Linked DNA regions of Bombyx mori. The protein of the gene in region 1 interacts with the protein of each later gene in a pairwise test. Links are inferred from orthologs where the notes say so. Each region holds a gene or a part of one and is shown in the gene's direction. Other genes may lie near its edges.

What was found.
Region 2: the proteins of RCC1-like G exchanging factor-like protein (region 1) and nucleoside diphosphate kinase 6 interact in binary tests that used the Homo sapiens proteins (3 or more experiments, as listed by UniProt). The link is inferred for Bombyx mori from reciprocal best matches to the Homo sapiens genes RCC1L and NME6.

What each region holds. Positions count from the first base shown.
Region 1 is NC_085111.1:18,487,781-18,491,719, reverse strand, and holds the start of RCC1-like G exchanging factor-like protein, read left to right. Parts: upstream 1-1,420; 5' UTR 1,421-1,541; coding exon 1,542-1,677; intron 1,678-2,352; coding exon 2,353-2,528; intron 2,529-3,395; coding exon 3,396-3,587; intron 3,588-3,747; coding exon 3,748-3,939. UniProt on the Homo sapiens protein: Guanine nucleotide exchange factor (GEF) for mitochondrial dynamin-related GTPase OPA1. Activates OPA1, by exchanging bound GDP for free GTP, and drives OPA1 and MFN1-dependent mitochondrial fusion. Plays an essential role in mitochondrial ribosome biogenesis.
Region 2 is NC_085109.1:1,111,741-1,115,462, reverse strand, and holds nucleoside diphosphate kinase 6, read left to right. Parts: upstream 1-1,020; 5' UTR 1,021-1,146; coding exon 1,147-1,355; intron 1,356-1,894; coding exon 1,895-2,055; intron 2,056-2,414; coding exon 2,415-2,560; 3' UTR 2,561-2,923; downstream 2,924-3,722. Other genes in the region: uncharacterized protein LOC101739724, read right to left, coding at 3,393-3,553. UniProt on the Homo sapiens protein: Major role in the synthesis of nucleoside triphosphates other than ATP. The ATP gamma phosphate is transferred to the NDP beta phosphate via a ping-pong mechanism, using a phosphorylated active-site intermediate. Inhibitor of p53-induced apoptosis.

The sequences.
Region 1 (3,939 bases):
TTCGAATAAGTTCACGATTGTGTGAAATGGAAGAAAATGGGAGACAATAGGTTGCTAGAGCATTGTGAGCACTATACAAAAACTATTATATCAGTCGTCGTGGCCTAAAGGATAAGACGTCCGGTGCATTCGTATTGAGCGATGCACCGGTGTTCGAATCCCAGGCGGGTACCAATTTTTCTAATGAAATACGTACTCAACACATGTTCTCGATTAGCTTCCACGGTGAAGGAATAACATCGTGTAATAAAAATCAAACCCGCAAATTTTAATTTGCGTAATTACTGGTGGTAGGACCTCTGTGAGTCCGCGCGGGTAGGTACCACCACCCCGCCTATCTCTGCCGTGAAGCAGTAATGCGTTTCGGTTTGAAGGGTGGGGTAGCCGTTGTAACTATACCTGAGACCTTAGAACTTATATCTCAAAGTGGGTGGCGCATTTACGTCGTAGATGTTTATGGGCTCCAATAACTACTTAACACCAGGTGGGCTGTGAGCTCGTACACCCATCTAAGCAATAAATAAAAAAAACAATATGTGATTATAAGTTCGGGTTGTAAGAGCTGTCTGTTTTGGTTTGTCTGATAAATATTACGTACATTATTTATGGTCTGGGTTCAAAAATAAAAGTCGACTTTTTGGCGGAAACACGAGGAGTGAAGTTGTGTGATTAGTTTATTTTGTCTATTTAATGTTTGTTCGGATTTAAATGTGTAATAACGGTGCTTTATTGAATGTTTAGTATCTGCGAAAGTGAACAATGTGAGAAAATTAATTAAAGCCGCTGAATGTAGGTTCTCGTGATCCTCCAAAAAGTCCACTGAAAATCTCAGTAAACGACCACTATTCTATTGAGATTATATTTCATCCAATATCATATTTTTCTCATTCATTTCATTACATGCCATGCTTCATATTAATCAACGTCATTTCATTTCATAATATCATTTTTCATATAAAAAAGTTTTCATTAAAATAAAAATAAGACTTGACTTAAAGGTCTTAGTTACCAGGCCATAAAATCCCATAATAAAAGTCGACTTTTCGGCGGGAACGCGAGGAGTCAAGTTGTGTGATTTGTTTTATTTTGTCAATTTAGCGTTTCTTCAGGTTTAAATGTGTAATAGCGGTGGTTTATTAACTGTTTAATATCTGTGAAAGTGCACAAATGTGTGAAAATAAAACAAAGCCGCTGAACGTAACTCCTCGGGATCCTCCAAAGCGTCCACTAAAAAAATCTCAGTAAATGACCACTAGTTTACTGAGATTATATTTCATTTCATATCATCTCATCTCATTTCATTTCATTTCACCCCACTTGATTATTGTCTCAAATGAATCATCTTCATTTCATTTTACTCCACTTATCATTTTTCATAAAAATAAGAACATGAATTAAAATAAGACGACCTAAAGGTCTTAGTTACCAGGTCATAATCCCTCATCAAAACAAAAGTCGACAAAATATAACCTGAAATAAAAAAGTGCTTCGCGTTAAATACACTTGATTATTATAGATACAATTTGTTTTTTGATTGTGGTATGCTTGGAAATTTAATTAATATGTATGCAGCTAAATTTTTAATACACCGGCGAAGTCCTGTTTTCTTGTTGAATCGAGTTTCCATTACGACTAAGAAGAAAGTTCATGACCCAAGTGAAGAGGAGCTTTTACCAAGTAAATAAATACACAATCAATACATACTTTTTATAATATCAGTTTCATAATCATCTTTAATTAATATAACAGGATCAGGCATAATAAATAAAAATGAATTAACTCTGCATTCTAGACTTCTTACAGTCCTTTTGTATTAATCAAAAAAACTTTTTTTTTCAAGTTTTTAATTCTCAATATAAATAGAACATTAATTTTAATAAATAAATTAAATTATCAAAGATAACATTATAAGAAACTTCTCACTATTTAGTTAGGTTATAGAACATATTAGGGCAGTTGGCACAAATTATTAAATGTTTACATGATGCCGAAGTAACAATACTACTGGGGCCTATAAACAGATACCAATATAGAAGTGACTTTTCATTTTGAGATAAAGCTTAGGCAAAATAGATCAGAGTTTTTACTATGAAATGAAGTACATACTATGTATTTCTCTATGTCATAATCTACGCTTTACAGTTTTGAAGAAAAAGGGATAGGAAGTTGAATAATGGATGAATTTATTAAAACAACAAATATTTAACTTACTAAATGAAGAATGATTCCTATTACTACAGTAATATAATCCTATAGGATTGGAGGTTACTTTCATTCTGAATTTAATTAAACAACATGTAAGTTCCTGCTGAGACAGTAAATCGACTTTAAACTGTGTTGTGTGTCCCACAGTATTCCAGTATCCAATAAGCAAAAGTACAGACAGACGAGTCTATGTGTGGGGATTTGCTGAGACAGGTGCTCTGGGTATCCACCTCCCACGTGGCAAGAAAGGGAAAAAAAGTTACAAAAACAACTTCAAATTGGTTTGGCATCCAATGAGGTCTTCTTTTGCAGAGAGATTTGATGTAAGGACTTTTAACTTTAATTTACCAATACTTGTTTAAAAGAAAAATAAACAATTTCTAAAAAGTTGAGATAATTAAAACTACATTTTCACCATTTAATTAAGGGTTTTTGTCGTTATATTATTTCTGAGTTATTGAATACTTTGGTTATTGTAGTCAGTTGCTCATGACAACTGTAAAGTTAGAAACACTTTAAATACTACACATATATTTAAACTTCAGAATGTCTTTAACTTTTTTCATTGCTTAAATAGGTGGACAAGCTCACAGCCCACCAGGTGTTAAGTGGTTAACGAAACCCACAGACATCAACAATGTAAATGCTGCCATCCACCTTGAGATATGAATTTTAATGTCTCTGTTTTTAAAGTAATGTGGCTGCCTTACCTTCGAATTGAAACACATTACTGCTTCACAGCAGAAATAATTTGTTATGTTTATTATTGTGTAGGAATAGGCCTTTGAAAATTCTGGCTGTTATATAGCAGATAGATACTAGTGCTAAATATACAATTAGTGTAATCATATACAATTCTTACCACGACATATGCTTAACATTGCATCCTCTGTCCCTGTCCAGCAACTTAAACTACCTCTAATGGAAGCATTCAATGAAAGTGAAGGATCTGTCAAGTTTCCAGTAGTATATCAGGCCTATAACCTGAACAATATATAATTTACGTAGTAACTCAGATCTGGTTACTTGCAAAAATCACTAGACAATAGTATTAATGCTAAGTCTAATTTAGTAGATTTTAAGTATACGCTGTGCACGCTAATAAAATTCAATCTATTACATTAGATTTTTATTTTATATTCTTATATCATGTATAACATTAGCTGAATAATGAAAAACTGAATTTTCAGATAACAAACATAGCCTGTGGCTACGGTTTCACAGTAGCCTCAATAAAAACTTCAGAGCAGCACAAAGTTTTCGGTACCGGTATCAATACAGATTCCCAAATTGGATACCATTCACCACGACGAAATCATCCTTTGGAACTTCTGCTTAGCTATGCACCTATTTATATACCTTACAAGAGCTTGGAGTGTGAGGTTAGTAATAGTTTTATTTGCCGAAGATTTAGTGGTATCCATAGTGACTCAAACAACAATTTTGTAGTAATAAAAATAATAAGTATTCAGAAGGAAATGTTAAAGGATATTAAATAGAAGTAAGATCAGAAATGTTTTGATACTTTTTACCGATTCGCAGATTAAAGCAGTGGCAGCGGGACGTGCTCACACAATAATCCTGACCGACAAAGAAGGTGTCTATACATTAGGTAACAATGCATATGGTCAGTGCGGTAGGAAAGTAAATGTCAATGAAGAGTATAAAGGTAGTATGGTGACTCATAACATACAAAAGCTTGGAAAGGAAAGCATAATTGATGTATGCTGCGGA
Region 2 (3,722 bases), on another chromosome or scaffold:
AATGAAACGTATTACTGCTTTATGGCAGAAATAGGCAGGGTGGTGCTACCTATCCGTGCAAACTCACAAGACGTCCTACCATCAGTAATTATGCAAATTATAATTTTGCGGGCTTTGTTCTTACTACACGATGTTATTCCTTTACCGTGGAAGTCAGTTTAGTTGATATGTACGTATTTCATTAGAAAAATTGGCACTTGCCTGCGCAATTCGAACATCGTTACATCGCTACATACGAATGCACCAAACGTCATATCCTTTAGGTCACGACGGCTATAAATCATTTGTTTAAGTTACAATTTTTTCACGTGTAGCCCCGATCGCTTTGTTTGTGTAATGAACTTTTAAAAGAGACGAGAACGCATTTTTTTTTTTTTATTGCTTAGATTGGTGGACGAGCTCACAGCCCACCTGATGTTAAGTGGTTACCGGAGCCCATAGACATCCACAACGTAAATGCGCCACCCACCTTGAGATACAAGTTCTAAGGTCTCAAGTATAGTAACGACGGCTGCCCCACCCTTCAAACCGAAACGCATTACTGCTTCACGACAGAAATAGGCAGGGCGGTGGTACCCACCCGCGCGGACTCACAAGAGGTCCTACCACCAGTAATTACAATTATAATTTTGCGGGTTTCATTTTTATTACACGATGTTATTCCTTCACCGTGTAAGTCAATCGTGAACATTTGTTGAGTACTTATTTCATTTGAAAAATTGGTACCCGCCTGCGGGATCCGAACACCGGTGTATCGCTCAACACGAATGCACCGGACGTCTTATACGTTAAGCCACGACGACTACAGCATACGCATACTTAAAACGAATAAAACGACGAACTTTTGTCAAACTACAATACGTTCTAAAACTTTCGACTACGTTTCATCTTCTATTGGAACACTTTAAAAGAATACTACTATTAATTGATTATATACCTATTGTGAAATAATGATTTCATGGATTTAATTTTGATTTTGTTCGGCCTTAATCATAATCAATAAAAGGCTCTATGGTTTGATACTTTCGCTTTTCCAAATTCCAATTAGAAAAACGGAACTACCACTACTTCCGTGCTGTGTGTCTAAACATTTAAATAAATATTTCATTCAATACATAATATGAATAAAATAAGTTGTTTTTCACAATGCAAAAGCTTCAGCTAACATTAGCGATAGTAAAACCCCACGCCGTTAAGAATCCTATAGCATTATCATACATCCGACAAGCTGTAAAGAGCAAATTCGTTGTTATAAAAACTAAAAGAATATTGTTGGATGAAGACACTGCAGCAAAGTTTTATAGAGAGCATGTAGGGAAGTTCTTTTACAACCGTCTAGTCACATTTATGGCCAGGTAATTAAATAATACGTAATAACCTATCATGAATTATAGTTACATGTACGTGTAATTTTAAATTTCCTGGGAATATTTAGGTTCTAGTATATCTCTATTAGATTCATTGTTCATAGTTGAAGTAAGGAAGAGTCACTTTGCAGGAGTTCTATGTGCATTTTTTGGCTGATGATGAAGGAAGTTCAACCAAGTTACTTATGTTACATTTAATCTTTCGAGAATATTACTTTATTACATTAATGGTGGTAGGACCTCTTGTGAGTCCGCACGGGTAGGTACCACTACCCTGCCTGTTTCTGCAATGAAGCAGTAATGCGTTTCGGTTTGAAGGGTGGGGCAGCCGTTGTAACTATACTTGAGACCTTCGAACTTATACCTCAAGGTGGGTGACGCATTTACGTTGTAGATGTCTATGGGCTCCAGTAACCACTTAACACCAGGTGGGAGCTCGACCATCCAACTAAGAAATAAAAAATAAAAAACTTTTTTATGATTGAGTAGATAGTGACTGTTGAACACAAATAAAGCAATTATTACAGTGGCTGCATAGATTTGCATATCCTTGGACACATGAGAGCAATACAGATGTGGAGAAAAATGCTAGGTCCCACAAGTGTATACAAAGCACAGTTCCAAGACCCGTACTGTCTCAGGGGGCTGTTTGGTATTTCAGATACAAGGAATGTTGCACATGGTTCAGGTATAAATAAATATATTGATAAGAATTATAACCAGTAACCACTTAACACCAGGTGGGCTGCGAGCTCGTCCACACATCTAAGCAATAAAAAAAAAAAACCTATATATACTGGGTATATGATAAATGTATATACAGGGTACAATGTACTCCCTTTAAACTGGTAATAACAGCTTTTGACATACAACCTTACAATTCCTCAATGATTTTGCTCTCTTAGTATATTATTAAAATTATAAAATTTATGAAAAACCAATTATTCATTTTAAACTGGTTTGTATTTTTTAATTTCAAATGGCCAAATATCTGGTTACTGATAGTAAAATATGGGGATGGTGTGGAATTATTCTTTTTCCTTTCAGATTCCCCTCAATCAGCAGAAAAGGAGATCAAATTCTTTTTCCCAGATTTCTCCATGTATCAGTGGTATAATGATGATGAACCCTGCTACAGGAAAGGACCAATAATATTCAACAGCCACTTGTTTCAACATGTTAGAAGATTATAGTGATAAAACAGTTATCTTATTGCAATTGAATAGAATTTACACAAAATTATTATATTCACATTAAGTTGACATAACTTAATAATAATAATTCTTTAGTAGACAGAATATACAATAAACATTTTTTATGTTAATTCAACACCGCTTGACAGTTCCAGCTATTGTTTAATCGGACATATTCCAGCAAATTTGCAACTAAAGTAGGTACTACTTTGTTTAGAAAGGAAATTGAAATAAAAAAAACAATTATTTTTGTGATTTCTTAACTACTTTTTTGTGCTCATAATCTATTGTGTCATAATTTAAATAGTTGTTTGTTATTTATACCAAATTGTTTAATTATAAATGTTATTTGTTATGTTAAAATGGTATTTTCATTTCATAATTAGAAAAATTCTTATAAGGTATATTTTATACAAAAAAAAATCAAATACAAAGAGGTTTCATATATATTTTCAAAAATACAACAAGTAACTAACAATTATTGTGAGACTAACATTATAAAGGAAATTAACTTACAGATTGAGATCAATTAAGTATTTTTTTACATACAATTTATGGACGGATAACTTGTTCGAAAAAACAGTTAATTTATTCTAAAATACCCATGTGAAAATGACTATTTGAAAACATTAAATTTCAACAAATTTTAAGACATTTTGAAATTATAGTGACATTTATTAATCAGAATAATGAACACTAAAAGAATTAGTTTGAATCTTCTTGATTAATATAATTTTTTATATTAGTTATTCAAAATATTGTTTGTGTTCACAAACTAAGATTTTATTTAATTCCAAACGCTTCTTAGGAGATCAACAACAACCCTGTCGTATTATTCACCAATTTTGACAAAAACTTTTGGTCGTGAAAAAACTTTTATACCCTCTTCTAATTTTGCCAGTTGTTTCTCTAATTCCATCTTTTTGTTGCGCATCTTGAGAGTGTCAGTCTTGACCGGCAATTTGTTTAAATCATTGACAAGTTCCGCAAAACCTAGAATATAATTCAGTAAGATAAATTCCAGTAATTAGTGTTGCAGAGATTATTTTTAAGTATAGGGGTAAGATTCACGAAAACCCTATATTCAGTCTTTCAGTACTATGCCAATGCAATTACCAATGAGAAATAATTTATTTATTCATTGAAAAGCTTTGTAATTATT